4 linked regions of the Diceros bicornis minor genome follow. The protein of the gene in region 2 interacts with the protein of the main gene of each other region in a pairwise test. Links are inferred from orthologs where the notes say so. Each region holds a gene or a part of one and is shown on either strand. Other genes may lie near its edges.

Region 1 (7,902 bases), on a different chromosome or scaffold from region 2:
CCCCCACTGCCTGGCTCAGACCTCCTCACACCCCTTCACCATCAGACAAATGAGGCCCATCCATCAGATCCTAGCTTGGGTTTTCACACTACACAGGAGCTTTGTGAGGCAGAAAGACAAGAGATCAGCACCCACAGCTTCCTAGGAATGCCAGGGGCCTCCTCGACTCCTGTGGGGTCTTGAGCAGCACGGAGCTGGACAGCTGGGCTGCTGTCTGTGTCTCTGCTTCCCCCTCAGCTGAAGAGGACAGCACTATAGTGGCTGGGGAAGGGGTGTGTGGGGGAGGGGATCAGAGCCTGGGGTCCTGGTCAAGGAACAATGAAATGGACTTGGGGAGTGTGAAGATTCTCAGAGTGAGCAGACTGAGGCCTGGGAGCTAAGGGCAATCCTGGCAGGCTGGGGTCCTTACCTCATGCAGGCTGAGCTGCTTGCCCTCGCGCCGCTTGGAGTCGAAGCGGCCATAGATGATGCTGTACTTGCGGATTTCCTCCTCCTTCTGGCTGTCATTGTCGTCCATCTCAAAGATGTGCCCTACGCTCCGCGCCAGCTTCTTGTTCAGCTTCAGCAGGGACGTGACCTCCCCAGCATCCCCCCTCGGGAAACTCCGGAAGATCCTCTCCACACTCTCCACCACCATGCGTACCATCTCTGGCTCCAGTCGATCTGGACCAGCCCCAGCCCCAGCTGCTGCCAGCCCCCCAGCCCCAGTCCCCTCAGGGACTCCTCCCCCTGCAGGTGGGGAGAAGGGGGGTGAGCTAGCCTCCTCTTCGCCTCCCGCCCCAACGTCGGACTCAGGGGTGCTCCGGCCTGGCCAGATCCGGGGGTCCCCTGCCCCAGGTCCCCCAGGCAGTGGTGACAGCTTCTCTCCAAGTTCAAGGGGGCTCTTGGGACTAAAACTGCGGGCACTGCCCGCCTTTTCTCCTGGGCTGCCGTGCCCATTGCTCATGCTCCCTTTCCGGGTGCCCGCAGTCTCAGAGATCTTGAAGAGTGGGATGCTGGAAACAGGCACAGCAGGCACTGGTTGGCTGAAGAGCCCTGGATTGGTGGCCCACTCTCTCAGTGCCTTCTGCAAGCGTCGAACGTGGAGGGGCTTGGTGGCCATGCCCACGAGTGCCATGATCTCCAGGAACTCCTCCTCACCCGCCTCGCACAGTTGCTGCACGTCGTCCCCTCCCTGCTGGATGAAGGTCTCGTAGTAGGAAAGCAGATTGGCGCGCTGCAGAACCCGGTACAGCTGCAGCTCCCCCAGCGTCCGAGGCAGTGCCATGGCTCGGGCACTGGGCCTGAGAAGGAGGTGCACAAGAAGGGGGGGGCAGTCAGTGCAAGGCCCCCTGCTCCGTACCAACCCACACTCACAATTATCCTCTTTCCTGCCTGCTTCTCTGCCCTCTCTCTTGAATGCTGTCTCTGCCCAGCGCCCAGGCCTGAGCAGTCTGAGAATCAGGCACTGCCCAGAGGCACAGACGTGCCAGTGCCATCCGACTGGCCAGAAGGACCAAAAACCGGCCCAGTCTCTGCAGAAATCAAAGGCTCTTGATCCCCATCCTCAGCTTTTACTTTTCTGGCCTGGGGCAAGGAGACCTTGAGCCCTGAGGCCAGCCAGCACACCCCTGTGAAGGCTGGACCGCACTCTCCTGCAGAACATAGTTCTCATCTTCCACGCTCAACACCCAGCAGTCTCAACCTTACTCAAGGTGACGTCCCACACTAAGGTGAATGCAGGACCCCTGTCCTCTCCACAGTGGACACCTGGGACCACTGCTGGCCAGCTTCACTCTCTGGTGGCATCCTGACCCTGTGGTTGAAAGGGGGGTGTGTGGCCCTTTCTCTGCCCTTTCCCACTCAGTGAGGGTGCACCCCTGCTCCCCTCCCCTCAGCTTTTCTCACGAATTAGGCATTCTTAGCGCACTCTTGCTCTCTCCCTGGGGACCTCGCCCCTCCCTTCCAGACTGCCCAGTGCCCCTCAGTTGGCCCTTCTCCCAGCAGTGACCTTCCCCACCTGCTCAGTGGAGCTCCGCCCGGGGGAGGGGAGGAGTGCCTCAATTGTTCTGCTCTGGGGCCCGTTCTGCCCACACTCACTCCCACGGTGTTGGCGTCTGTGGGCGAAAACCGCCCGGGGGCTCCCGCCCACCCTCCTCTCTTCATTTTCCATCTGCATTTTCAAGTGGAGTGGGGGAATGGCTCAAAACTTACTGCGGGAGGGGCTGCAGACCGAAACTCCCCTCCCCAGGCTGCAAATAAACGCACAGAAATGGGAAGGAACACCTAAGGCATCCCCTGCTTCTCCACGGCCCCGCTGATGCTCTCTTGGCTCAGAGGCGCCGGCTTCTCCCGGACCCCGGCCCGCGCGCTCCGTGCCAACGACAGACTGAGCCAGCTGAGTGGCCCTCCCCGGCACTGCTGCCAGCTAGAGCTCCAGGGCTTCCCCTGGCGCTGGGGAGCCCCCACGTTCTTTGCAGGGGGCTCAGCTCACATGCTAGGTCATACCCACAGAGTAAACGGGGGATGGAGAATGAGGTACTATTCTTTCATATCCAGCTTCATCAGATCCCTGCCTGCTCCCAGGGCCCCGAATTCGAAGACGCACCCCCTTTTCCATCAGTCTCCACCTCCCACCCCCGTCCCGCTTCCCCTGGTCCTCTCCTCGACCTCCGCCCTCCAGACCCCTTTCCCGAGTCCAGCTCCACCCATCTCCACTCTCCGCCGTCTCCCTTTGCCCACTAACTTGAGTCTGGGCTGCGGGGTCCGGCGGGCGCTGTCCCCTCCGCCTGGCTCGGCTGCGGGGGAGGGCGCTCTGTGCATGGAAGGCTGGAGACCACCGGGGCCGCCCCTCTCGGTGCCCGGCGCCTGGTGCGCGCTGCGCTCCTCCCGGCGCGCGATGCCGTGTCCACCGCTGTCCGGGCTCCGTCCCTGCCTCCACGTCTCCTCTCTGCGAGCCTCCGCGCCTCTGTCTGTGCCTCTGCCCCCCCCTCCCCGGCTGCGCTTGCCGCCTCTCCGCGCCTCCGCCCCCGCAGGACGCACGGGGAGCGAGGCCCGGCGCTGCGCTGGCTGCCGGGCGGGCGGAGGGCGTGGGCAGAGCCGGGGGCGGGGGCCGGGGGCGGGGGGCGGGCGCCCGGGCCTCTCGGCCGGCCGGGGAGACGCCGCGGCTGAGACGGCGAGAGGCGGAGACTGGGGGGAGGGGGTGTGGAGCAGGAGGCGGGGGCGGGGACGCGGAGCCGGGGCGCCGAGTTGGGGACTGGGGTGAACGAGGCCAGGCTGTGGAAGGCGGGCTTGGGGACCCAGCGGGCGGGGCGAGGTCGCTCCGTGCCGCCCACGCCGGATGCACAGCCGGCCCTCTCCGCGCCCACGTAACCACGTGAGCGCCCAGCCGGCGACATTCCTACTCCCCCCACCACCCCTACCCCTCCAAGTGGAGTTTCACAACCACGCACAGGTACACAAAGACACAGAGAAGCGCACGGACGTGCACACGCGCATCAACAACTACGCGGACGCCCGCTGCCCATACTCAGGCCTCGCGGGCTGTACGTGGGAATGTTAGGAGTGAGCCGGGAAAAGTTGGCGGAGACGGGTGCGCGGCTCCTCCCGTGCGTGCATCTGACTCCCATAGAGTGGGCACTTATGGCTGGTCTGTGAGCGTGGGGCTCTGCGGGAATCCCTCAGATATCCCAGCCCCAAAAAGAATAGTTTGGAAAGGCCAGTTCTCGGAAATCCAGGCCGCCTCCATCTCTGCCTCGAGTCCACGCCGAAGTTCGGGGAACAGGATTGGGCGGGTTATGCTAAAAGCTACCACTTAGACGCACGCTGATGAGGCGCGTCGGGGTTTGTTAGCGATTAGGCCAGGCAGGGATGGGAGGGGTATCCGCCTTCCTCTACTCGTCGCACCCTATTTGCTGAGAGTGGGGACCTGCTCCTGGGGAATTCTGTGTGGGAAAGCTGGGATAAGGAGGCTCCCCTTTTGGGGACGTCTTATTAGGGGACTTTGCCCGAGAGAGTCTAGTGGACGATGGGCAGGAGGCCGGGAGCGTCCGACGTGGCTCCATACGGAGGAGTTGGAGGGAGGCGCTCCTTCAAGGAGCCTGGCCACCGCGCCCCCCGTCGCCGCCACCCACTACCCCTCCCCCCTTTGTTTCTCCTAGCCCCATCTGGTTCCCATTACACTCCCGCCCACGGCTGGGAGGGCTAGAGGGTGGGGACAGGCGGGGGCTCTGAGGGCCCGTCCCAGTGGCTTTAGGCCCCGGGGAAAGGAGGTGGGGGAGAGGGCCGACTGGAAGCGAGCGGACTGGCCAGAAGCAAGGTTCCCCCAAGTCCGACACCCCAGCCCCGCCCCGCCATTCCGCACGTCTGAGTGGCCCGGGCCCGGCAGGGCGTGGGTGGCGTGGGCGGGGCTGGTTCTACATTCCAGCCGGGCGAGGGGACCTTTCCGTCACGGGGGGGGGGGGGGCGGGGACGGGTGCACCACATAGGGGGATTTAGGTAGCTAAGATTCTCTTCTCCATCCCATTAAGCCTCAAGCACAGTGGAGGGTGATAGGAACGCGCCGAGTGCCCCCTTTCAATCCCCTGTTGTCCAACTGGAGGGCACGGCTAGACGGGCTCACTCCCAGATCCCCTCCGATATGTGTGGGCACCCCCTCCCCCACTCCCCTCTGGTTATTTTGGAGCCTGGGTTGCCAGCCGCTGGCCCGGGTTTCCACGTGCCTCCTCCCTCCTCCTGCCCACGCTCCCCGTGACGCACATCCTTCGCCCACGCAGCCTGTGCTCCAGGCGCCCCCCTCCCTCCCACCCAGACCCCCGTGGGGCAGCGCTGAGCCCCTGGGTCCGGAGAGAGACGCAGGCCCGGGAAGAGGGCGGAGTAGGGCGTGAAGCAGGGGGGCGGTAACCAACTAGGCGCCGAGCGCCTGGGTCCCGGCCCAGGAAAGATGACGAGGGAGGGGCCGATTCTGGGGCTTCCACTCCTCGGTTCTAGGGCGGGTATTCGGCCAGAGAGGGAAGAGGGGAGAAAAATCCCGCGGACTGTTTCTGCCCACTCCCCTAGGGGAGTCAGAAGGGATTTTTCTGAGTGCGAACCTGTGTGTGTGAGTGAAACTCCCTAGTGTTTGTATCCCTGTTTCTCAGGGTTGAGGTTCAGATGAGAGGATGTATACGAAAACTCTGTAAATTGGAAAATTCTAAGCAAATTGAAGACGCTATTGCCAGTTTGTGCCTCTGTACCCTGAGATTATGTATTTATATGTCTTTAAATCTACTTGTGTATCTGTGTCTCCGTCTTGCTTTAGGTTTGTATGTGAGCTCCTATGTGTGGATTTAAAAATACATACATTTAAAAAATCATTGACTTGTCAAGCCCCGCCAGAGGCCGAGAGCGCCCCCGCAGCTGCTGAGATGTCTGTTCTTCGCTTCCCTCCCACTCCTACCACCCCCAAGTCCCCTCCTACTCCCTTCCGTTGAGAACAAGGAATTTCCAGCTTTTAGCAAATGGAGAGAGACTGAGACGAAGACACGGAGACCATGAGAAACTGTAGAAAAACACAAAGATAAGAGACAGGTTGGGGGCGGGGTGGGGGGATGACAGTAGGGGTGGGACGAATACAAAAATCTTAATTTCCTCTCCTTTTCTTCATGGTTCCCATTCCCTCCAGTATAGGTTAGGACCACTTTCTTAGGAGACTCACCTGCTGTCCGCCCACCTCAGTGAGGTCAGGGGCACGCAGAGCAGAGCAACGGATCCGTTTCATCAAAGGTTTATTGCCTACACTGGTCTCTTCCAGGAAGGGAAACAGTATCCTGAGTCCCAGTTTTCCAAGAACAGGGGAAAAGATTGTGAAGAAAGTGGGTGGAAGAGGAGTGAGGAAACTGCTAACCAGAAGGATTGTGATTCCTAGGCACGGGTAGCTTTTCATCTAGCAGATTGCACTGCTCACCCCCCCCCCCCGCACCCCCCCCAGGTTTTCACCAGGCCTAATCCAGCTCACTCAGCAAGCTCTGGCTCCAATATCACCTTCCTGGACCCTCTCCTGCCTGCACGCTGTGCTGCCTGCACCCCTCTAGGCAGAATTAATTGCTCCCATCCTTCAGTTGCCTCACGGTTCTTTGTACACATTTCAATAACGCATAGTTGCTTGTTTCGCCCTCAGCCCAGGACCTCTCCAGGGTAGGTCTGGTGTCTCGTGGGCCCTCTGAAATTAATGAGTTGATGATGCTATTTCCAGGCCTGAGCAACTTTGAAAAGGGCAATTGACAGATTTTACTCAAAAGGGGCTGAACCTGGGCAAAACTGTGTAAGTGGAGGTATTTTTCCATGCCTCCTTCCTTCTTCAAGTTTCCAGTCTCACAGGTCTGGCTCCTTGCCCTTCTAAAATGTCCACTCTTCTGATAAATTAATTCATACTCAGGTACTAAAGGTAGACGGCTGAAATCCTTGCTAGAAACAGAAATATATGAATATAAAGTAATGATCCTTTTTTCCTCTTTTAGTAACATGTAAGAATTATAATCTAAGGAACATTGTCATTCAATTTAGTCATTTTACAAGGGGTGATGCTTCACCCCTCAAAGACTGATAATCCTAACTTCTGCCTTTAAGGAACTCATAGACTAGTAGGGGAGATAGACATATAAACAAATAATTACAACGTAGGACAATAATAAGGGTACAAACACTGACCGAAGTATAGGGGACAAGTGATGTCTTCTGTACGGGGTTGTGAGGGACTGTAATGTTGCAGCCTAGGATTTTGGAGTATGGATAGGAGATTTCCAGGAGGAAGGGACAGTCAAGTCAGCAGAATATAAACTTACATGGAGGTATGAAACAGAACGATATCTTTGAGAAACTAGAAATTGTTCATTATTGCTGGATGGGGGGTGGCAGTAGTTAAAAACGAGCCCAGGGAAGTGGACAAGGCCATTGAATTAAGGATATTATAGACTAGTGCTTCTCAAACTATAAGAAAGGACCAATTAAAAAAAATTTCCAGTCTATAGTCTATACTTCTATAAAATACACTAAAAGTGAATTATCGAACAATGAAATAAAATCCCTATTTTTATTAGATTCAATAAATATTTTTGTCAAATTGCTGTAAAAGTTTCTAAATGTTTACACTTAAATTTCTGAAATTGTTTCATTGCAGATTGGTAATAAACTTTGAATAGCGCTGTTGTAGTTGTTTCTTTACATCTATGTTTTAGATCATACTAAAGACCTTGGACTTCATCACAGGAGATTTTTGGGGAACCATAAAGGCTTTATAACCTGGGAGTGACATGGCCAGGTCTGCATTTACTATAGTGTGGAGGAAGGGGTTTATGGCTGCAAAAAACAGCAGGGAGGCCAGCTTGAAGGAAACTAAAGTGGCCCAAGTGAGATATGGCAAGGTGCTAGACTAAATGTCTGGCATGGGATGGAGAGGAGAGGATAGATTCAAAAGGTAGTCAGAAAGTAAAATCAATAGGACGTGATGATTGGCTGAGGGGTTGGGGGAAGAGAAGAGCTTAGGGTGACTCCTGGACTTCTAGCTTGAGTGACTGAGTACATGGAGTGTCTTCATTAAATATTCACCATCTGTAATCCTTTTCCTAAATTAAAACGAATGAAAACCAAAAGTTTTTCATAACTCATTTGACAACAAAACCTAATCTGACCTGAACTTATTTTGTGGCAGACCTCCTAAACTTTCATTATTTATAGTTTCATTTATCCCACTTTTGTTTATCCCAATGTGAATATTCATATATCTCATTGCAGAAATATTAATTTGTTTGATTACGGTTGCTGTCCCAGACCCCACTGGGACTGTTGCCTTATGTATTGTATATGTATATGCACCGTATATGTTTCTAAAATCCAAAAAAATTCTGAAACATTTATATCCAGATTTCCCACCCTATTTACTCATCA
Region 2 (7,173 bases):
ACACCCCTTACACAGGAAAACTGTACCATGCTACGGAGGACTCACAAGCAAGGATGGGGCGAACAGGTGGGGGAAAGCTTCAGAGGTTGGGAAGAGAAGGGATCTGAGAGGGTGGAGCAGAGCAGGAGGGCTCCCTCGGCTCCTGGAGAGTCTGCCCTGGTCTCACCTGTCCCCATAGAGGAGGGGCTTGCTCAGACACTGGGTGCAGGCCTCGTGGAACCATTGCAGGCAGCTCCGGCACTGTAGCATTTTCAGGTTCCACCTGAAGGGGAGCCAGGACTAATGACCTCCAGACACTTCCCCCCTTAACTGACCCAAACCACCTACTTTCATCCCCTTCAGCACTCCCCTTGCCTTGTTTTTTATCCTTCACTTCCTGGGATTCCCCCCACCACCACATCACACTCATTCCTTAACCCCCCCGCCCCTCATAACTCACTCCCCAGGGCCACCACAGTAACAGTAGCTCTGTTGCCGGTTGCTCAGATGTCCAGCGTCCCAGTCCAGCCCCTTTAGTCCGTATGGCAGAGAGAGCTTCATGCCCAGCATGGCACGGGCATAGGGGCCCTTCTTCAGTGCACCACCCCTCTGCAGAGACAGAACAGGCACGCCAGGCACCTCAGAGGAGTGGGGACAGGAAAGGCTTGGGAGAGGATGTGGGTGGCAGGCTCCCACAGGAAGGTGCCTTTACCTTGGTGGCGATGGCAAAGACACACTGGCGGCAGACCCAGGATGTGCCCTCTCCCTCTCCAGGGGCTGGGGCCCTTGGAACATGGCAGTCCTGGTGATAAGCTGAATAATGATAATATTGATGGTTGACCACTTATTGCAACTGGTATGTGCATGTGTATGCAACCTGTGTGTGCAAGGTATTGGAACAGGAAGTCTTATCCATCTCATTTAATCCTTGACCATGGTCCTGCTGGGGTGGGTGTATTGCCCTTATTTTACAGGTAAGGGAACTGAGGCTCCTAGAAGTTTAGGGACTTGCCCAAGGTCATATGACTAGAAAAGAGTGTATTTGAACCACCCTCTGCACACAAAGCTCACACATCCCCATTCCATGGCTGCCTCTTGCTGTGCTAGAAAGGAATGAGCTTACAGGGTTGAGGAGACTGGCAAGAGCAGTGGCAGTAGCCGGGGGACTCAGGCCAGGACAGGTGGCATAAGGACCAGTGCTGGAGGGAGGAGTCAGAAGTAGCCTGGAAGGCCCAGGGCAAGCTGGACAATTCAGGTGTCCTGCCCTCTCACCGTGGCGACACTTCTCACAGCTGACCAGCCGGTTCCCAGGGACCACGGTCTCAGAGCGACAGACACAGCAGAGGAGTTCCTCCCCAGGGAGAGCAGCTGTGAAGGAACACAGTGTCAATGGGCCTGTGCTTGAGCCCCTTGCTGTCCCCCAAGCCAGTTTTCTGTTTTCTGTGGGATGTACACTCTGAGGCCTTGGGGATCTCACCAGGGCTAATATCTTTCCATAGAACCAGAAACTGAGAATCATCCTCAAACTGGACCAGACACACCTCCCGAACGCTGTCCACCTGGAATGGGTGAGCACAGAGGATGAAACAGGAATCAGAAGTAGATAAGGGGAATGGGGAAAAGGAAACAGGTCAGAGGTCAAAGGTCTTACCTTCTTGATGGTCCCCAAGTATAGAAGCCCATCTGTCCATCTGGCCAGCACATCTTGACCCTCCCAAAGTCGAGGCCTGGGGCCTGAGGTGGGAGCAGGGGAAGCTGGATCCCAAAGAGGGAGGGCACCAGAGCGGCTCAGCCGGGGGGGCTGTGCCATTGCATCCTGGGGGGGGCCTAGCCAGAAGTGGGATGGGAGGAGGAGGAGGTTATGAATGCTGAGAGACTGGCCCCATTTTGTTTGCCTATGTTTCTTTCAAGGTCTCAGGCGGCTGTGCCCCCAGTCTCTAAATCCCTGAGACATCTGGATAGGAAACCTCTCGGCACCCCTCCCAAGCTTCTTGACTCTAGTTCTCCCAACTCTAGTGACTGGCTCTCCTTTCCCTAACCAGCCCCCCAACCTAGTTGTCTAGTTTCCCAGCTTCCAGAGCTCCCCTGGGATATTATATCCTGGCCTGAGATTTCAGCAGAAACGATGGTTGCAGAAGCAAAGGTTACCACTCAGTTTCTACTGTCACCTTCTCTTGCTGTTGAGAGGTATCATAATTGGGGTGCTGTTACCCAGAGATGTGTTTTGGGAGCTTTTCGGGAGATGTTTTCCAGAGTAGAAACAGCTGCCTCCCGGGGCCGGCATGTCTCATTCAGAACAATCATCCTGGTGCCAGGTTACATCAGGTCACCCTCAAATTCGGGGCTCCCTGCCCCCGGGTTAGATAAGTTCCCTGAGTGCCCCGGGAGGGGGGCGTGTCCCAGTCCCGGTCTCTACTCCCCATGACGGCGAGTCCGAGAGGGGACTTGAGTCGGCCCAGCCGGACCCGATGCCAGAGCGGCGAGGCTCTCCCGCCCGCGCCCTGCGCGCCGACCCCCGGCTCCCTGCCCCCCCACGGGCGCCTCCCGCCGCCTCCTTACCAGTGACAGCTGGGGCCGCCGAGAGCCGGGCAGTGGCAGACGTGGGAGACCGAGGCGAACCCCCCGCGCGAGGAGGGCACGTCTGGGCGTCGGGGGGCGTGCAGGCAGAGGCCGGGGGGTCCCCAGGCCCAGCCCCTCCGTCCCGGCGGCTCTGGGGCGTATGACGCAGCAGCCAAAGCAGCGGCAGCGGCAGGAGGAGGCGGCGGGGGAAAGGAGGGGAGAGGAGGGGAGGGACAAACCGGCTCGGGGGGAGGGTGGTGGGAGGGGAGGACTGGGGGGAAGGAGGAGCCGGGAGGGGGGGCGGAGAGGCGGGCACCACCTCACCCCACCTCCCTCACCTCCAACAGGCCTGGAGGGCGCCGAGCAAGCGGCGGCCTCTCCGCAGCTGAGCCGGGCGGACGGTCGGACCCCGCGGGAGAGGGAATCCCCGCAGCCCCTTCCTCCGAAGGGAGACCCGCCCTCGGGGCAGGAGGGAATCCCCCCTCCCGGCAACCCGCCTTCGGACTGGCCCCCGCCCCATGCCACATCCGTTAACTGCCCCCCCCACCTCCACGGTCACTCCAAGCCCCGCCCCTCGGCCCCAGTTCACGACCCCGCCCTCCAGTCACCCTTCCCATTGCCCCCGCCACGCCCTCCTCCATCCGTTGCCCCCGGCCCCGCCCTCCCCGTGGCAAGTTGTCCCCCCGCCACTGCCGCGCTTCTGCGCACGCGTGACCCCTCCCGCGCGCGGCACCTGGGAGCACTGAGCCCCTCCTTCATGGGGCGGCGGCCGTTGGCGGTTGGCGCGAGGGATTCGGCGGGCGTGCGTCCCGCCCCGCGCTTCCAGGGCGGGGGCACGGACCAGGAGGTTCGTACCGAGGCGGTGACGCCACCTAGAGCCAGCCAATGGGCAGCGGGCGGGGCCGGCCCTGGCCGTTCGAACGGGAAGGCAGGGAAAGGGCGGGAGAAAAGAGCCAGCAGTTTGTGGGAGGGCGCGCCGGTCCCGCCCCTGGGCTCGGGTGCCCACCTTCCCACAGCTACCGCAGGAGCATTCCTGCCCGGGGCTGGCGTGGCCCGTGCAAGGGGGAGCCCCAACTAGTGACTGTGGATGGCTAGCGGGCACATATCCTGGATGTGGACGACGGGGGAGGGCATGGGAGCTGAAGGCCACCCAGACTCCAGGGGACGGCATGTCAGGGAGAAAAGCCAAGCCCTCGCTCGGCAAAACACAAATGCTTGGCCGACTGGCCAGACCCATAGTTCTCATCTTTACAGATAAGAAAAATATCTCCCTTCTTGGGCAACAGCTAATACAACCTTTATTTTTAAAAAAACAACAAAAAACTGTTCTTTATTTGATAGGCCCAGGTAACACAGCGCCCCCTCCCAACGAAGCATCCCTCAGCCTCCCACTCCGTCCCCGCCCCCCCCCCCCGCCCCCCACAGAGGATCTGGATCTGTCTTCATTTCCTGTTGGCCTGGGCAGTACCAATAACACACTGGTTCACCTGTGGGCAGGTTTAGACAGGATAAAAAAATTTTCAGAGTAACCAAAAGAATAGTTTTCCCAAGATCACCTCCCAACCCACACTATTAGGGCTGCCCTCAGAGAATACTGAAATAACAGCTCTGAAGGCAGGTTCGGGCTGGTCTCAGTTACAGTGAGTTCTGTGCCCACTAGGCACACCAGATCTGGAAGAGGTGAAAAGGCCTGAGAAGGGATGGCAGCCCCACACAACAGCAGAGAGGAGCTTCCATTTCTAGAGATACTGTGGACTAGAGACCCCAAAGCCCTCCCACTACTAATGCTTAATATGCTAGATAAAGCAATAACAACACTCATTTAGGAACCAAGGCTCCTTGGAAAATGAATGATTCCAAGTCTAGGGCAGGAAATGTACAAGATGAATCTGGAACAAAGATTACTGGGAACTTGTCTAAAGGACACAGGAGCCAACTTGAAGGAGCTCCCACTGGCCAAAGATGCAACAATTTGAGCATCAGAAAGAACAACTGCAAAGGATATCTATCAAATACACAAGCATCTGTAAAATGATACCCCCAGATAAAAATTCACTGGTTACCTTTGGAAGTTGCCAGGATATCAACTTAACATACTGAAAATTGATAAAGAATCCAGCATTTATCCTGCCTTTCTTCTAGGGACTGAGTTTCAGAATAACCAGATAGATAGCAAGGGGAAGTTCTTTAGAGAAGAATTATGACTAATAAATATAGAACAATTTGAAAATCACCATTTTAAAACTTACTAATGAAATAACAGATCTAGGTATGATCATTGTTTGATAAAACCACTAGGTGAAAAAGTCAATAGGGAGTTTTAAAATGGACAGATCAGACTGACAACACCAAAATCCAATGATCCATTTTTCTATCATTAAAACTGGAACAACTAGATATTAGGTGCCTCCTGATATGATGCAATAGAAAGTGTACCACACCATCTAACTTTTCTTGCCAAAAAATCTGAGCCTGATTCAAATCTAATCAAGCCTCTAAATCTAACTACCAGATAACAAAAATTATGGAGAAAAAAGGAAGCAATAAACCAAAATCCAGAATGTAGTATATTGTATAGGACAAATGACCCTATTTCTTCAACAAATAAATGCCAAAAAGGGGGTGCAGTTTCTATAGACTTAAATTTCTTTTAGAGACAATTTCAACCAAATGAAAGGGGTAGCCCTTGCTTAAATCCTGATTGGAACAAACCTAATGTATAAAAGAGATAATCAGGTGAAATTTAACATAAACTGGGTATTAGAAGATATTAAAGAGTTCAAGTTGTTGGGTATTCATGATGTTGATATAACTTTATTGAACTTGCAAGACAGCACGGGAAATCCTGATCAAAGCACAAGACCAGGGCAGGTGCTGAGGCGGCTGACTATGTCCATGGCAGCAACCGGGGCTGAAGCCCAAGAGCAGCAGGGCTCACCATCAGAGACCCTAGGTAAAGCCAGGACCCATCGTAGGGCTGTACTCTCAGGAAAACGAGTAAACAGAGGAAAAAATGACCCTCCAGAGGCAGACGGTAAAGAAACTTTCTGACTTAACTCTAGTGGAGGGGAGCATAAGTCTCCTAGAGATTAATGGCCATGGCCACAGCCAACCCTCATGGGGTTTGGAGCCTGAATTGACACTATTTGGAATGGTCTGAAAAACCTTTAAGTCTCCTTTGATCCAGCAATCCCATTTCAAGGAATCTCCCCCTAGATAGTTAGATGCAACTAAACAAATACAGAATGACATATGTACAAGATTAGTCAATACGGCCTTGCCTGTAACAGAAAAAAGGTGGAAACAATCGAAGTGTCCAGTGGAGGGAACTGGTGGATAAACTTTGGTGCATCCACACAATGGAGTCCCAGGCAGACATAAGAATAATGGGATGATCTCTGTGTGCTGGTGGGGAGTAATCCTGGGGCTGTCTTGTTAAGCAAAATGCAGCGCGGAACAACATATATATGAGACAGAGAGGATGAGGGATGTCTTTTATATAAGAAGGAGAGGAATAAGCACATGCATATTGCTTGTAGTTGCAAAAAGAAACATTGGAAGGATAAGTAAAATGATAAATGATAAAAATGACTCCCTCTCCTAGGACAGGAAGGGAAGATGGGGTGGAAGCAGTGGTGGTAAAACTTCATTTGTTGTGTATAGCTTTCTATATAGTTTTGACCTTCCTTTTAACGACCTATTTTTAAAAACTTAATTAAAAATCCCCAAAAGCCAATACATAAAAAATGGATCCAAGCAACTAGAAGGATGTGCAGCTATGACATACAGCTATCTACTGGGGCTTTGTGGGGAAAAACAAATAAATAAATAAAATTATTAAAAAAAAAAAAATGGGGGGCCGGCCTGGTGGCGCAAGCGGTTGAGTGCGCGCGCTCCGCTGCGGCGGCCCGGGGTTCGCTGGTTCGGATCCCGGGCGCGCACCGACGCACTGCTTGGTAGGCCATGCTGTGGCGGCGTCCCATATAAAGTGGAGGAGGATGGGCACGGATGTTAGCCCAGGGCCGTCTTCCTCAGCAAAAAAGGAGGAGGATTGGCGGATGTTAGCTCAGGGCTGATCTCCTCACAAAAAAAAAAAAAAAAAAAAAAAAAAAAAATGGATCCAGGTGGGTAGTGCCTCAGATGCCTGGCAAATATAAATCCTTTCTGGATGAATGTGCCTCCTGGCCTAGAGGACAGAAGGGGTCAAGATGGAGAAGCCTTACAATGCAGGGGTCCTGACAGGGCCTGGGCTTGCTGGTAAACGCACCTTGGAGGCAAAGCGTAGGGAGTTGAGGGACTCGGAGACATTCTCTTCTAGGGGGGAAATGTTCACAAACATGAGCCTGTGGAGAGAGGAAAGGGGGCCGAACCCCAGGATCAGCGGCTGGGCGGAGCCTAGACCAGGTCTCCACTGTTTCCCCTTTCCCACCCCTGACCCCAACATCACAGTTCCCACCTGACCCCTTCCGCGTGTCTCTATCACTCACATCTTAGCACTGCCACCCAGAGAGTTCTGCAGCAAGTAGGTGAGCTTGCTGTTCCGGTAAGGTATGTGGGACTCCTAGAGGATTGAGGGGGACAGATGATTAGGAGAGGACAGGGTTCAGCATGGCCAGCCCCAACCTATCACCAGGT
Region 3 (7,161 bases), on a different chromosome or scaffold from region 2:
GAAGCACAGGAGGGATGGGAGAGTGCTCAGAGAGGTAGAGAAAGAAGCAGGAGAGAACTCGGGGGTAGGGGGCAGAAGGGTGGCTGGAGAGAGAAGCAGGGAGGCCCTAAGTACGAAGGAGGTGAAGAGCCAGGGGGCTGGACATTGCATGGGGTGGGGGTGAGTCAGCCTGAGGGCTCCACCGAGCAGCCCAACCCCCAAGTCCCAGACGTTACCTCATCTCCCAGGCCTGGGCCCACAGCCAGTCCTGGGAGCCCCTCCCTCCTCTCTCCATGCCGGGGTCAGGGGAGACAGAGGGGGCTGGCCCAGCTCAGAAAAGACCACCCCATCAGCCCACCCACCAGGGCCTAGGTCCAACTCCAGGGCTGGGCTCAGCTCACCACCCCACCCACACACTGGGGCTGCTGACAAGCAAGGCGTGGCCCAGAGTGCCCCCAACAGGCCACAGCTGAAAGTCCATCCCCCAAGCTCACTATGTTGCCCATCCCCACCAATGAAGAAACAGTCTCAGAGGCCAGCCAAGGCCTGCGACTCCCCAGCCACACTGGCCAGCACTTTCCAGGGAGGGGGATTCAGGATAGGTTTTCTGGGCTGGCAAGGCATCAGGACCGTAAGGGCTGGGTGTGTGTGTTGTAGGGAGACCTGCTGGCAGGGTAGTTTCCAGGGGAACCCCATGGAAAGGTCCCTGGGAAGATCAGTGACCGCCTGCCTGCCCTGGCCACCAAGCCCAACTCCCGCAGACTCCGCCTTGGGGCCCCTCTCAGGCTGGGCAGTGCCTGGACAACCTTCTGGCCCCCTCCAGGCTGTGCCTGCCCTGGGCTTCCTGCCAACAGCCGCCTGCCCACCAGGCACCCGGGTGGGCCTCTCTGCACAGGCAGATGTGGGGACAGGAAGTCCCCACCCCACACTGACTCCTAGGCCACAGTCAGAGACACCAGCCCTCACCCTCTCTGGGCAGGCAGTTTGTTGTCTATGTCCCACAACTGACCCTACAGCTGGAGCTATGGCCTGGTGGTCACCAGCTGAGGGGCCCACCAATGCAGTTCAGGGGTCCCGGCCTAGACCAGCCTTTTTCGGCTCTGCAGACTCCAGCCAGCAGATGGCCATCCCAGCATGGGGCTGCATTCTTGGGCTTATAAGGCAATCCCCCTGCCACAGGGAGGAGCCAGCCCTTAGCTCCACCCAGGAGCCCCCCCCAACCAGGGCAGGATCTTAGGAGTCACAGCCCTAGAGACCTGTCCCACACCCCTGCTTGGGGTCAAAGGCCACTGTATCCTGAATGGGACCAGTGGGGGATGCAGGTCCTCGCACAGGCTGGAAAGAGACCCTCCTCACTCTCCTAACCACGAAAACTGCAGGCCATCCCAGTGCCTGAATCCCAATCCCTGCTTTGTCATGGAATTGCTGGAGGAGCGCCTCCACCTCTCTCAGTCCTGAGCTCCCTCATCTGGAAAAACAGGATGACAACTGCTATTCCCTGGGTGGCAGTGAGGGTGAAGTGAGATCCTGCAGTCTGAGTGTCCTGCCTGGGGGCTGGCTCCAAGCATTGCTCCCTCAAGGGCCTAGACACTTCCTGGAGATCTCAGGCTCCCCTCCTGCAGAATGGACATCCCTCAGGCCTCAGAGGTGGCCCCAGGAGCTTCATGGAATGGCATCAGGTATAGTGCAGTGCTGGGGAAGTATGAGGACTTCTTTCCCAGTATCCACCTAGTTAGGAGTCCTTGTGGCAGGTGACCACCACATCTCTGGACCTGGACACCTCCTGGACTCTTGGCCCTGGCTCCCTCCTGCTCAGACTCCTCCCATCACCCACTGGAAACCTGAGCACCCAAAGACTCCTGGGGGAGCCCCTCCCCCAACCTAGGCTCACCCGGGAGATGGACAGGGGCACATTGAAGTCCTTGCCCCCCTGCAACCGGAAGCCCCAAGGTGCTGGGCCATCCAGCACCACCTTGAAGGAATCCATGGTGTCCGTTCCTGAGAGGAGAGAGAAGGTGAGTGGCCAGCATAGTGAGTGTGCAGGCAGGCCCAGCTCTGGACACCAGCCTTGGACTGGTGCCACGCAGGCACAAGCAGACGCTTAGCACACCCAGGGCATCTGCAGGCGGGCACCTTGTCAGGTCTGGCTGGGCTGCTGGCTGGCAGGCCTCACTTTGGAAAGACAGGGGCAACCCTCCTCCCCCAGGGACTGGGAGGGTGAGGGGAGCCCGCATCCAGTCTTGAGGTTCTTTTCATCCAGGAGTGGGCCGCAGGGCTAATTTGGCACGGCCTCCCCCTAAGCCAGCCTTGAGCCTCGGATGGCGGTGGGGTGAGTCAGGGGCCGGCACTCCTCTCCCCCGCCCCCAGGTCCCGGCAGGCAGGCCGCAGCTGGAGCCTGCTAGGACTATATAAGGCGTGTAAGCTGACACTGTGCGGAGAGTCAGCGGAGGGAGCACACGGGGGCTCGGGACGCGAGGGGGAGGGGTGGGGAGGGAGGCGGCTGGAGCGAGTCCTAGCCATTCCAGGACCGGTCGAGGCTGCTGGGAACCAGGGCGGGACCCCTGGGCGCTGAGGGGGACCGGGCAGGGGTGCAGGCTCTGCGGAAATCGGTGGGGGCTGGACCCCAAAGCGTGGCCAGGAGGGGGATTCATCCTGGAGCCCAGTGGGGGTGATGCCACTCCGACGTGACTCAGTTTCCCCCTGGTCCCCCGCCCGGGCCCCATGCATTGGCCGAGTCCCGAGCGCAGGAAGCGGCGCAGGCGCCAATCGGTCCCGCCGCTGCCGGCTTCGTCGCAGGAAGGCGGGGGCGGGGGCCCGGGCCCGAGGGAGGAAGCGCAGCGCTGGCCACGACCCCTAAAGCCCTCTGCGGTCCCCAGCAGGCCTCTGCCCCCCGCCTGGCCCAGCCCGAGACGCCCCGCGCTGTCGCCTGTACCTGCTCGGCCCCGCCGAGGCGCTGCTCCGCAGCGGTCTCCCAAAGGCGGTGTCGGGCTCAGCCGCTCGTGTTCTGACCCCTCCCCCGTGGCTGCCGTCCGCTTTGAGCCCGCTGAAGGGGGCGGTGCCCCAGGCCACGCCCCCATCGAGGACACGCCCGCGAGCGGCCGGTCCGTCAGTGGGAAGCCCCACCCAATCCTCCCTCCCCGCCCAATCACGAAATCCCGTCTCGCTTTGAGCTGGAAGGCACGGCCCGCCCCGGGCCCCTTGGTGGCGCGGGGCTGGCGCGGGGCTGGGGCGGGGCCTGGGCTGCGGGATGCCGCGTCTGGGAGCCCAGCCAGCCGCTCGGCCAACGCCTTGCGCCTCCCGCTGGCCGAGTGAAAAGAAGGCAGCCTTCGAAATCAAACAGATCTGGGCATTAGTTGTCTCTGAACATTAGTTTCCTCCCCGGAAAAATGGGACAATAATACTGGCCTTGCAGGGCCGCCGTGAGGATAGGCATTCTTTGGCGTAAGGCGCAGGCATCCGCGGCTCCAGAATTTCTAAATCGAAGAAACTTGGTGGGAGGAGACACATCGAGGTGGGATTAGTTGAGGTGGGAACAGGTTTGCAGAACACTCTACTGACGGCAGAAAATAAGGGCAGGAGCGGACGGAGGTGGAGGGGGCCCTGGGCTCGGCCTGAACTGTGGGCCCTGGCCTCCCTCCCACCCCGTGACCCCAGGCAGTCAGCATCCCGCTGCCTTGCGACCCCGTCTCAGCGACCCCACACTGTCGAGATGGGCTGTGTTCTGGTACCCGACTCCAGAGGGGGTAGCGCCGCTAGTGGAGGCGCAACGGGAGACTCTAGCGAGGGTGTCCGAGTCCCCGCTTGGCCCCCAGTGCTCAGCCCCGGCGGCTAGCTCAGCCGGCGGGGGAAGTTGAGCAGGGACGGGAATGAATCGACGTCCACCTCTCAGCTGCTTCTAGGGCGTGGCCGCGGCTGCCCTCCCTGCTCCATCATCACGCTTCCCCTCTTCTGCATCATTCCCCTCACTACACAAACTGCTGAGAGAGTTCTCATCTTTAGAGACATCTCTCTTGACCCCACCTCCCTCTCCAGCTATTGCTCTTTTATTCTACTCCCCTCGAGAGTAAAATCCCTGGAAGGAGTTGTCTATCGCCCTGTCTCCGCTTGCTTTCCTCTCGTTCTTTCTTGAACTCACTCCAGTCAGGCTCTCATCCCCACCAGTCCTCTGAATTAATTCCCTTTTCTCAAGGTCTTTGATGCCTCCAGGTTATCGAATCAATGGCGGTTTCTCAGCTTTGTCTTACCGGTCCAGGGGCATTCCCTCTTCCGCTGGCTTCATGCCTCCTCCTGCCCCACTGGCTGCTCCTTCACCGCCTCAGTAAACAGCACCACCATTCATCCACCTGGTCCAGTAAAAACTATGAAGTTATCCTTCCTTTCTCTTCTCTGTCATACCCCAGATTCTGCAATTCCCACCCTCAGAATATGTTCCACATCTGGTCACTGCTGCCGTCATTGTCCCTGCCACTTATCTCGTGTCTGGACATCTTAACAGTCTCCTAATAGAGCTCCCTGCTTCCATGCTTGCCCACTCCAGAGTCTTCACCATGCAGCAGCCAAAATGATATTTTTAAAGCAGAAATCATACCACATCACCCTCAGCTTTTAGCATTCCGGTAGGCTCACATTGTACTTAAAACTAAAGTCCTCAAGATGTATATGCCACTAATAAACTGACTCTACCTCCCACCACTCTCCTCCTTGCTCACTGCACTCCAGCCACTCTGGCCTCCTCACTGTTCCTCCAACATGTCAAACATATTCCTGCCTCAGGGCCTTTGCACTTGTGGCTCCTTCTGCTTGAAGCACTTTCACCCAGATGTCTAAGCAACAGGCTCTCTCACTTTGTTCAGGTCTCTGCTCAGCTGTCGCCTCCTCCAAGGGATCTTCTCTGGCCACCTATCTAAAACAGGAGTCCCTTGACACCTTGCCAGCATCAAGTACTAGTCCCTTACCCTGCTTTATTTTTCCCCATAGCACTTACAACCATCTGATATTATATCAAGTGTTTGTTTCTTTATTGCCTTTTCCCCCTTTGGAAACTCACTCCCATGAGAGCAGGGACTTGTCTGTCTCGTCCACCAACATTTCCCCAGTGTCTGCACACAGCAGATGTGAATGAGCAGATGAAGGAAGAAAGTGACACAGCACGTGAGCAAAGGAAGAAGTGGCAGCTGGGGGTCCTGGCAGTCCTCCAGCAGAGAGGACCCTGTGACCGCATTCCTTGGCCTGTGCAAGGCTCAGGCCTGGATGGAGCCACAAGAGCTCCCTGTATAGGCAGCCCCTGGGTTGCCCCAGGCTAGGACACAGTGCCCCCCGGCGGCCAGGACAGCTACAGCTCCAGGGCCAGGCCCCTAGAGTCCTGGAGGTTTCCAAGGACTTTCTCTTTCCCAGTCTGATTGGAACCTCACAGAAATTGCATGAAACAAAGAGGCTTAGATTTGTAGTGAAGGGAAGCATGCCTGACCAGGGACCCAGAGTCCTGGGTTCTAGTTCTGGTCATGACCCTGACTCTCTGGGTAACCTCCAGTGTGTCCTCGGATTTGCTGAGCTGTGGGGCAGAGGGGTCCCTGCCGCAGGCACCCTGACTGGGAACCTTCTGGCCTCAGCTGGCTCTATGGCAGGCAGCCTGATGGATCATGGGAAGATTTTACCCATCAGGAGGAGCTTCCGTAAGTGGGTCTGAAATCTGCCTCCCCATCGCTCCAATGTCCTGAGCTTTGCCCTCTGTGGCCACAGACACTCTGGGGCAGCACTGCACAGAACCCCCCAGCGTCCCTTCAGACGTTACATTTGGAGATGCCTTTTAGACAGCCAGAAGTCTAGTGTGCAGTTGGATTCTTAAATCTGGAGCTCAAGGGAGAGGTCTGCACTGAAGATATACCTTTGGGAGCCATCAGCATTTCTTTTGTCTTTTCTTTTCTTTTCTTTTTTTGGTGAGGAAGACTGGCCCTGAGCTAACATCTGTGCCTGTCTTCCTCTATTTTGTATATGGGACGCTGCCACAGCGTGGCTTGATGAGCAGTGAGTCGTTCTGCTCCCGGGATTCCAACCTTCGACCCCTGGGCCACCAAAGCAGAGAGCACGAACTTAAACACTACGCCACTGGGCCGGCCCCTAGCCACCAGCATTTAAATGACCAGTGAGACCTGGAGACAGGACTGGCTCACTTAGGGCAGTAGTTCTCAGCCTTGGATGCACACTACAATCACTCAGGGAATCGGACAAACTGATGCCCGGGGCCTGCCAGGACTGATGAAATGTGAGCCTGTGGGTGTGCCCAGGTGCAGGCATTTTTTAAAGTCTCCTGGGTGATTCTGTGTGCAGCCAGCGTTAAGCTACACTGTGAGGCTGGAGCCCAGGGCAGGACTCTGGCAGAGGAGGAGACAGCAAAGGCTGGGAAGGAGGGGCTCAGGAGGGAGGAGGAAAACCAAGTGAAGACAGCGTATCAAGGAGGGGTGTCGAATGCTGCTGAGAAGTTGGGGAGTCCAGCTCACAAGGGGAGTCCAGGTTGCTTTTGTTTTGGGCAACAGGGAGGTTGGTGACTGTGATAAGAGCAATGCAATGAAGTGGGGGGACCAACAGGAGTCTGGAGTTGGTGGAAGGGAGAATGGGAGATGAGAAAGTGGAAATGAGAGTAATCAACAACTCTTTTGAGGAGTTTCACTGTGAAGAGGAACAGAGAAATGGGGAGGTGGCTGAAGGAGAATGTGAGGTCAAGGGAAAGTTTCTTTTAAAGATGTAAAATTACAGAGCATGTTTGTTTGTGGCTGGAAATGACGATGATGGAATTAATGGGTCGAGGAGATGGGCAGCTCAGTTTGCCAAGCTGTTAGGTGGTGAGAGGAGCTGGGATCAGACACATGTTGGGGAAAAGATACTTCTTCCATTGTAGGGCAGGAAGGAGGCAGTGCAGATGCAGGTGCACTTGTAGAGGAGGTGGTGGGAGGTTTGGGGGGGGTGGTGTTCACCTCTGTCGGCTGCTGTTTCTCCAGGATATCTGCAAGCTGAGACTGGGCAGGGATGGAGAGGAGAAGGTGTGGAGGTCTCGGAGAGGAGAAAAACAGCCATTCTGGGACACAGGATCTCTGGGCAGCGTAGAAGGCCTGCCGATTTGAGGTCTGAGATCACATTGCTAAAGACAACGCAATCAGCCTGGTGATGTGAATGTCCCCAGTGTGG
Region 4 (7,520 bases), on a different chromosome or scaffold from region 2:
CTGGTATTCCCTTGACTAGTGGAAGCATAACTCCATTCGTCATGTGGTGTCCTCCCTGTGTACATGTCTGTGTCCAAATTGCCCCCTTTCCTGAAGGATAACAGATGTGTGCAGCCAGATAGCCCTATCGGCCCGTTTCCTGCCTGTAGCATCCTAGAAATCTGACAGCCTTCCTTCATTTCGTCCCCTGTCTGTCCCCTTCAGTTCAAGCTGGCAGCATTTCTGCTGAGATGATTTATAGGATCCACATGTCACATGCCTAATCTCTTAGCAAACAGGTTGTCCAGCCACACCCTTGGCGTTCTTTCCAGAGCATTCTCTCTCATTTTTTGCAATCTGGATAGGCTGAGAATTTTCCAAATCTTCAAGTTCTGGTTTCCTTTTGGTGAACGATATTTTCTTTGATTTATCTTTGTCCTCCTTCGTTTTAAGTGCTTAAGGCTAGAAGTCCATGATCTGGGTGTCAGCAGGGCCATACTCCCTCTGAAGGTGCCAGGGAAGGATCTGTTCTGGGCCTTTCTCCTGGCTTCCGGTAGTTCCCTGGCTTGTGGCAGCAAAGCTCCAATTGTCACAGGGTGTTCCTCCTGGGTGTGTCTTCTCTCGGGTTTTGAGGGCAAGACAGAGCTCATCAAGTCCTCTCTCAGGCCAACCCAAACTGATCCTCTCAACAGTTTAGTTACTACATCTCATTCCTCCTTTTGTTGTTAAAATTGTCTTTCATCACACGTGTGGGGGAAGGAGAACTATTCCTCTACCCTCTAGGTCCTTCTGGCTCATCTAAGAATTAAACTGATGTGAGACAGAATAACAGGAGAAAACCAAACAAAGTTTAATAACATGAATACGTGGCAGAAACCCAGGAAAACTGAGTAACTTGCCAAAATGAGGGAACCACTACCTTAAATACCATTTTCAGCTAAGGACAAAGGAGGATGTTGGGGGTAGTGGTTTGGGACCTCAAAGGGGAAGAAGGCAATTTACATGGAGATGGAAAGGCAAATGTTTGGTAAACAAATGTTTGCTGGGCCATCTATAGACAATGAGACCCAAGGGAGAGAACTTTGATAAAAATGGGCTTAGCAAGGACCCTCCCAGTCTACCATACCCAGAGTTATCTGTGGTCGTGGCCTGTCCTGGGACAGGCCTTCCTTTTTTAGGCAGTTAGGGGAAAGTCATAGTTTCGTTTTGAGTCTTTTTTTATTAAAAAATAATCAAGCCAGCGGGTAGAGTTTGAGTTTGAGCGCTCTGCTTTGGTGGCCTGGGTTTTGCAGGTTTGGATCCCTGGGGGCAGACCTACGCGGCTTGTCAAGCCATGCTGTGGCAGCGTCCCATATAAAGTAGAGGAGGATGGGCACAGATGTTAGCCCAGGGCCAATCTTCCTCAGCAAAAACAAAAAAACAAAAAAAGAGGAGGATTGGCAACAGATGTTAGCTCAGGGCTAATCTTCCTCAAAAAAAAAAAATAATCAAGCCAAAGAGACACATTTTGGCATCGCAAATTCTGATCCCCAACACAAGCAACCCAGGGTCCTGACTACTAGTGTGAAGAAGCTTCATATATCTAGGGGAGTGTGGGTGTTTGTTAGGCTGGGGCTTTGGGTTCAAATAGGGTGGCTGATGGGGTTGAGGCCTGAGAGGTGGGTAGGGAATAGGCCACACAGGACCTCAAACACCGTAGTCCTGAGGGTGCTTGATGGCCGTAAGAGGATGAGAGCAGCATAATTCTGGGTGCAGAAAGATTCCTCTGAGGTCCAGTGGAGAACTTTCTAGAGAGGGCAAGACTGGAGACAGAGAGGTTCAGGGAAGAGATAACGTGGAGGCCCAAGGTTGGGGTCTCGAGGTGTTTCTCATCTCCCCAGGCTCCCGTGCCCCGGCCGCGGATGAGTGCTCAGGAGCAGTTGGAGAGGATACGCAGAAACCAGGAGTGTGGACGGCCGCTCCCTCGCCCGGCTTCCCCTCGGCTCCTCACCCTGAGGAGGACACTGTCCCCAGCCAGACGCCAGCCTGACACGGAACAAAGGGTGAGGGGAACTAGGGGTGCGAGGTGGGGCGATGGGGTGGTAGCGGGTCTTCTGCTCCTAGTTAGAGCCTCAGTTTCCCTCTCTGTAAAATGGGGATGTTCCCTACTTCCTTACCCAGAACTGGGTTTCCAGATTTGCCCCAACTTTTACTTGAGCTGAAATCAGCACTCTGGCTCCCCTAGCCGTGGGGAATGGAAGTGGGGTGTGGTAGGGGGTGGGGCAGAGACAACATCTCCACCTCATCAGCATTCTCCCTTCAGCGTGGAGGTCATAGGTCTGGACTGGAAGCCCAGTGTTATCAAAGGCAAAAATAATTTTTTTTGAGCAAGTAAGGAAATCGATTTTATTCATGCTATTGCAGTGGGGGAGAGCACCCCAGATCTTAAGATCAGAGTGTCTTGGTGGGATGGTTTCATCTTAGACTTTTCTAGGAAGGAATTAGACAAATCATAGGTGGGGTGATTCAAGATTGGGATTGTTTTTGTAATCGGGGGGCGTCTCTGTCAGCTGAACACCAACCGTTTATCTCTGTGTCTACCTAGTTTTGGGGAGACAAACAGTTCAGCTAATCATTTGTGAGGTAGAGAATGTGAGTTTGGAGGGCCTGTTTCTGGCCTTGTCATAGGTAAACAAGGGGTGCGGGGTGTCATCTGAGTCTTATCTAAGACATATGGAGAAGAAGGGTTCTTGTAGTAAGCCGTTTCCCAGAACACACAAGCTTGCGTGTGTGTTGGGGAGTGGAGGGGTGGGGCGGGATCTTAACCTGTTTTCCAGGAGCGCATGTAAAGTTACACATTGTCAGTGTCTCCGGGGGCAATTTTATCCCCTCTCTGAGCCCCCTTCATTTCACCCTCAAAATGAGAACGTGGGGACTTCCAAGTGAGGAATTCTAATGCCCCAATTCCTTTGCAGCCTGTCCCAGGACACTCAGGAGCCCCGAAATGGCTCAGAAGCTCCGGGTCCTGGAGCAGGTAGGGAACAGGAGGGCGCGGCCAGGAGCAGGGAAATCCATTTGCCAAAGGGGAAGGGAATAGTAGCACTATTATTAATGTCTCCTGAGTACTGAAGTGCAGGTCGCAGAACCTGTTGGAGACGCTTGAGTTCCTGGGCCATCAGAAAGCCCTAGATCCGCAGTGAGAACTGCAGTTTCCAAAACTGCAAAACTGGGTAGATATCACACTCCGCTCCTCCGTCTGGAAAACCGGTGAAGTCTAAGAGCGACTGGACTACAAATCCCATAATGCACGCGTGCTTTTTATGAGGGCCGCGCCATGTTTAAAGACCTTTAGAGACACGTGCTAGGGACTACAACTCCCAGAAGGACACGCGCAGCACGGAGGTCCTCTCTGTACTGGATAATTGTATACGTCCCCCAAATCTCTTTTTTTCTAGTCCAAGGAACACCACCCCTTATTTGCCAACATCCGAAGGTCACCGGGAGCGAGTCCTCAGCCTCTCTCAAGCCCTGGCTACTGAGGCATCGCAGTGGCACAGAATGATGATAGGTGAGGAGGGGCTGGGGACTTTGGGCTCCTGGGTTTTAGAGAAGAGGGAGCCAGAGGCCTGGAATCCTAGGTCCTGGTGGGGAGGGGTCTGAGGGCGGCTGGGAATCCTTTGTCTTGATGAGGAAAGAGCTAGACGGGGCTTGGAAATTCTAGATCCCAGGCGGGAGGAGATCGGGATCTAGGGCTACTGGGTCTGGAGGAGGGTACTGAGAGGTCGGGACTCCTGGGTCTGAAGGAGGAAAAGTCTGGGGGTCTGGACTCCCGAATCCCAAGGTTTGCCATTCTCATTCCCCAATCGTCCTCTCCAGGGGGAAATTTGGACTCCCGAGGAGACCCTGTTCCCCCTGCGCCGCCGCCTCCGTCAGACCCCACGCCCCAGGTGTCCTCGGCCCCAAGATCTCCTCCACTGGCCAATTCCCGCTCCACCGGGTTCTCCCGCCGAGGTAGTGGGCGCGGCGCAGGCCCCGCCTCCTGGGAGTCCTCGTGGGATCCTGGGGCCGCCCCTCCCGCCCTGACGCAAGATGAGGGGGCGTGGCCTCTGCGAGTTACTCTGCTGCAGTCCAGCTTCTGACACGCCCAAACGCGGCAGCCAATCGGAGCGTGGGGGCGTGGCCTGGATGTACCGCCCCGAGATCTGGAGCCACTCAGGGCACCGGGGGGCGTGATCTAGTCCCCTCCGGTGGCCTGCCGGCGAGTGGTTTCGGTGGCCAGAGTTTGGTTTTCCCAACACTTGTCCAAATTCGGATTAAAACTTTGAACTTTTAGTCAATAGCTTTCTTTGTGTCTGTTGTGGGGTCTCTGAGGGGCGGAGCTGGAGTCTGGACTCCTGGGTCCCGAGGGAGGAAGGGACAGGGACCTCAGACTTGTAGATCTGAGGAAGGAGGGGCTGGAGACCTAGATTCCCGGGTCTGAGGGAGGAGGGGCTGGGGCCAAACTTCCAGGCTTCTGGTCTTTCTGGCAACGCCCCCCAGGGCCGGGCTTCCAGGATCCAGCCTCTATTTATGGTTCGGCCTCCCGGGACTTGGGAGGTGGAAAGAGGGGCAGAGTGAGTGACAGTGGGAGACACGGACTGAGGCAGAATGGCCACGGGAACGCGCTATGCCGGGAAGGTGGTCGTTGTAACCGGGGGCGGGCGCGGCATCGGAGCCGGGATCGTGCGATCGTTCGGTGAGAGGGGTCTGGCTGCTCGAAATATTGGAGTCTGGGAGAGGAGGGACCCCGTGGGCTAATGGATGTGGGAAGAAGGGTCTTCAGTACCGGAGTCAAGATTCTTATCGTATAAAAGCCAATTGTAATGCTAACGAAGGGATTGGCAGGGGTAGCCTAGGGCCTGAGGTCTTGGCGTGTCACCCAAACGCTGTTACTTCCTTTCTGAGTTTCAGTTATAGCTACAAAAGGGGTGAATGGCTCTTGCAGGTTTAGAATTTGCTCTGGATCCCAGGGGTGGGGGCTCGGGAGCCGCAGCAGGCACCTGGAGCAGCCAAGAAGAATATGTGTCAAGGCCTCTGCCCTTTGACCTAGGGGATCATCACGAGACTTTGGGGTCAGAGGGAGCAGGGAGGGAGATAGTCCCCACTCCAGGTGGCCACAAGAGGGCAGCAGAGGCTTCGCCAAGGTCTGTGCTGGGGTAACCTGTTCTGTTCTCAGTGCAAAGCGGGGCCCAAGTGATTATCTGCGACAAAGATGGTAAGTGTTGGTCCCTCACCCCCAGCCCCTCCTCCCCGAGACCCGGGAGTCCGGACCCCTAGCCCCTTCTCCCCCAGCACCGGGAGTCCGGGCCCCTCAGACCCAGGAGTCGGGGAGGCCCCCAACTCCCTCTTCCCCCAGACCCGGGAGTCCGGGCCCCCAGCCCCCTCCTTCCGATCTGGGAGTCCGGACCCCCAGCCCTTCTCTCTCTCTGCAGAGTCTGGGGGCCGGGCCCTGGAGCGGGAGCTTCCTGGAACTGTCTTTCTCCTCTGTGACGTGACTCAGGAGGAAGACATAAGGGTGAGTATTTTTCGGTCCCTACTCCGGATCTCCAGCAGTTTCTCTCTCTCTCTCTCTCTCTCTCTCTCTCTCTCTCTCTCTCTCTCTCTCTCTCTCTCTCTCTCTCTCTCGTTTCTCTTCTAGGCTTTTGCACATGCTGTTCCCTCTACCTTTCCCTCTTCTCCTGGCTAAATTGTACTGGGACCAGCTCAGTATTGTTTCAAGGCTCTCCTTGATTCTGCTGGCCAGGTCCTGTGTCTCCTGGGAAAGTTCTCCTTTATCTCCTACTTCTTCAAGACTCTTGCCACTCTGTCGTGAGGATTAGAACAAAAAAATCTATCACAGCGGGTCTCCTCCTGTAAGAGTTTTCCCTCGCCCATCTCAGGGTTTCTGTCCCTTCCCTTCAATCAGTGTCGATCTAGTATCTAGCCCCCACCTTCCCCGGCTCCCTGTCTCCTCTTCTCCTGCCATGCCTGGTGATTTGTGGGGAGGGTCCCTCACTTCCTCCAGCTCCTGTTCCCTCAACTGTGACTCCAGCGTCCACCTCCACGCCTTGCTTTTGGGCGCCCGGGCTCCCCAAGGCCCGGGGCCAACACTGCTCCCTCACGACCCGTCTTTCTCCTCAGACCCTCATCTCTGAGACCATCCGCCGTTTTGGCCGCTTGGATTGTGTGGTCAACAACGCCGGCTACCGTGAGTTGTGAAGCCTGAGGGCCCTTCCCACTGAGGTCCACACGCCTCCTGGCTTCCCCCGCCTTCCTCCCTTGCCTCAGTTTCCCTGTCTCTGCCCCCTCCCCCTCTGTCCCCTTAGACAGGACAGGACTGCTATGGAATCCTCCATGCCTGGGCTTAAATCCCGGCTCTGTCCGTTCCCTGCTGTGTGCCCCCAGACCTGTGCCCTCACCTCACTGTGCCTCAGTTTCTGCATCTTTAAAATGGGAATGACCATGATCATCATATAGGGTTGTTGTGGATACTGAATAAGGGAAACTACTCAGCATTGTCAACACAAATAATCAATAATCAATCTATAAATCAAGATTGGGGTGAGTTGATTACATGAGCTAATCTGAGGACCATATAGCCTGGGAGGAAACCTTCCCCAAGGAAGGAAGCCCTCCGAAGCATCGGGGTGTACAGTGTAGTTATATACTGACTTGGAACAAGGAACAGACGCCACGTATAACAGGAATATCTCTTTTACTACAGTCACGAGATGTTTTGCTAGCATGGCAGGTCCCTGTGACCTTAGTTTCTGGAAGGAAATACTTATCTTTAAAGAAATGCTGATGTGGGGGGAGGCCTACATCCCTATCTTTAAAGGCAGCGTTCTTTGCTTGGGACGTTGTAAACGTTTAAAACAGATGCACAATGCATGTTCGACAGGGCACACCAGACCATTCTGGAAAAACAAAGTCAGGCCGAATTAGTTTTAAACCAAATGGCTTCCTCATATCCCTCAATATGTATGTACTTTCCGTATTGCTTTTCATTTATTCATCAGCTGCATAATTATCGTACAATCTCGGGCAAACAGCTTCCATCTTGTAGCCTCACTTTGCTTATCTGTGAAGCGAGGCCATGGCCCTTCTCTTTGCCGATGGCTGTGAAGATGTCCTCACGGTGCATGGTTTATAGGGCTTGGTGTGGTGGCTTCCAGGGGAAATTGCCATCAGCTTGATGACGGCCCTTCATAAGAATGTCTCATGGTGGTGAACTGAGGCTCAGAGAGGTGAACTGATTGCATGGAGGTCACACAGCAAGGCCGTGGTAGAAAGAAGCCTGCTTTGTTGGCTGGGCAACTTTGAGCAAGTGGCTCACCCTCTCTGGGCTGCATGTTTTAAAAAATTATTTTATTGGGGTGGCCCCGTGGCTTAGCAGTTAAGTGCGCGCGCTCTGCTACTGGCGGCCCCAGTTCAGATCCCGGGCGCGCACAGACGCACCGCTTCTCCGGCCATGCTGAGGCCACGTCCCACATACAGCAACTAGAAGGATGTGCAACTATGACATACAACTATCTACTGGGGCT

What was found.
Region 1: the proteins of PHF1 (region 2) and NAB2 interact in binary tests that used the Homo sapiens proteins (3 or more experiments, as listed by UniProt). The two-hybrid records come from large-scale screens. The link is inferred for Diceros bicornis minor from reciprocal best matches to the Homo sapiens genes PHF1 and NAB2.
Region 3: the proteins of PHF1 (region 2) and PDLIM7 interact in binary tests that used the Homo sapiens proteins (3 or more experiments, as listed by UniProt). The two-hybrid records come from large-scale screens. The link is inferred for Diceros bicornis minor from reciprocal best matches to the Homo sapiens genes PHF1 and PDLIM7.
Region 4: the proteins of PHF1 (region 2) and HSD17B14 interact in binary tests that used the Homo sapiens proteins (3 or more experiments, as listed by UniProt). The two-hybrid records come from large-scale screens. The link is inferred for Diceros bicornis minor from reciprocal best matches to the Homo sapiens genes PHF1 and HSD17B14.

What each region holds. Positions count from the first base shown.
Region 1 is NC_080756.1:11,804,220-11,812,121, forward strand, and holds the start of NAB2 (NGFI-A-binding protein 2), read right to left. Parts: upstream 3,015-7,902; 5' UTR 2,803-3,014; coding exon 2,726-2,802; intron 1,284-2,725; coding exon 410-1,283; intron 1-409. UniProt on the Homo sapiens protein: Acts as a transcriptional repressor for zinc finger transcription factors EGR1 and EGR2. Isoform 2 lacks repression ability.
Region 2 is NC_080753.1:31,079,162-31,086,334, forward strand, and holds the start of PHF1 (PHD finger protein 1), read right to left. Parts: upstream 3,017-7,173; 5' UTR 2,539-3,016; intron 2,516-2,538; exon of another isoform or gene 2,285-2,515; 5' UTR 2,264-2,284; coding exon 2,191-2,263; intron 1,807-2,190; coding exon 1,631-1,806; intron 1,539-1,630; coding exon 1,457-1,538; intron 1,348-1,456; coding exon 1,252-1,347; intron 793-1,251; coding exon 692-792; intron 589-691; coding exon 440-588; intron 263-439; coding exon 167-262; intron 1-166. Other genes in the region: kinesin-like protein KIFC1, read right to left, coding at 3,981-4,025, 6,806-6,881, 7,026-7,099. UniProt on the Homo sapiens protein: Polycomb group (PcG) that specifically binds histone H3 trimethylated at 'Lys-36' (H3K36me3) and recruits the PRC2 complex. Involved in DNA damage response and is recruited at double-strand breaks (DSBs).
Region 3 is NC_080740.1:90,709,098-90,716,258, forward strand, and holds the start of PDLIM7 (PDZ and LIM domain protein 7), read right to left. Parts: upstream 3,016-7,161; 5' UTR 2,912-3,015; intron 1,978-2,911; 5' UTR 1,967-1,977; coding exon 1,871-1,966; intron 1-1,870. UniProt on the Homo sapiens protein: May function as a scaffold on which the coordinated assembly of proteins can occur. May play a role as an adapter that, via its PDZ domain, localizes LIM-binding proteins to actin filaments of both skeletal muscle and nonmuscle tissues.
Region 4 is NC_080773.1:24,435,800-24,443,319, reverse strand, and holds the start of HSD17B14 (17-beta-hydroxysteroid dehydrogenase 14), read left to right. Parts: upstream 1-4,520; 5' UTR 4,521-4,605; coding exon 4,606-4,693; intron 4,694-5,173; coding exon 5,174-5,212; intron 5,213-5,429; coding exon 5,430-5,512; intron 5,513-6,117; coding exon 6,118-6,184; intron 6,185-7,520. Other genes in the region: PLEKHA4 (pleckstrin homology domain-containing family A member 4), read left to right, coding at 1,860-2,021, 2,934-2,992, 3,414-3,526, 3,835-4,097. UniProt on the Homo sapiens protein: Catalyzes the NAD(+)-dependent oxidation of L-fucose, yielding L-fucono-1,5-lactone, which rapidly converts spontaneously to L-fucone-1,4-lactone. Can also act on D-arabinose and L-galactose, with lower catalytic efficiency. Does not use NADPH.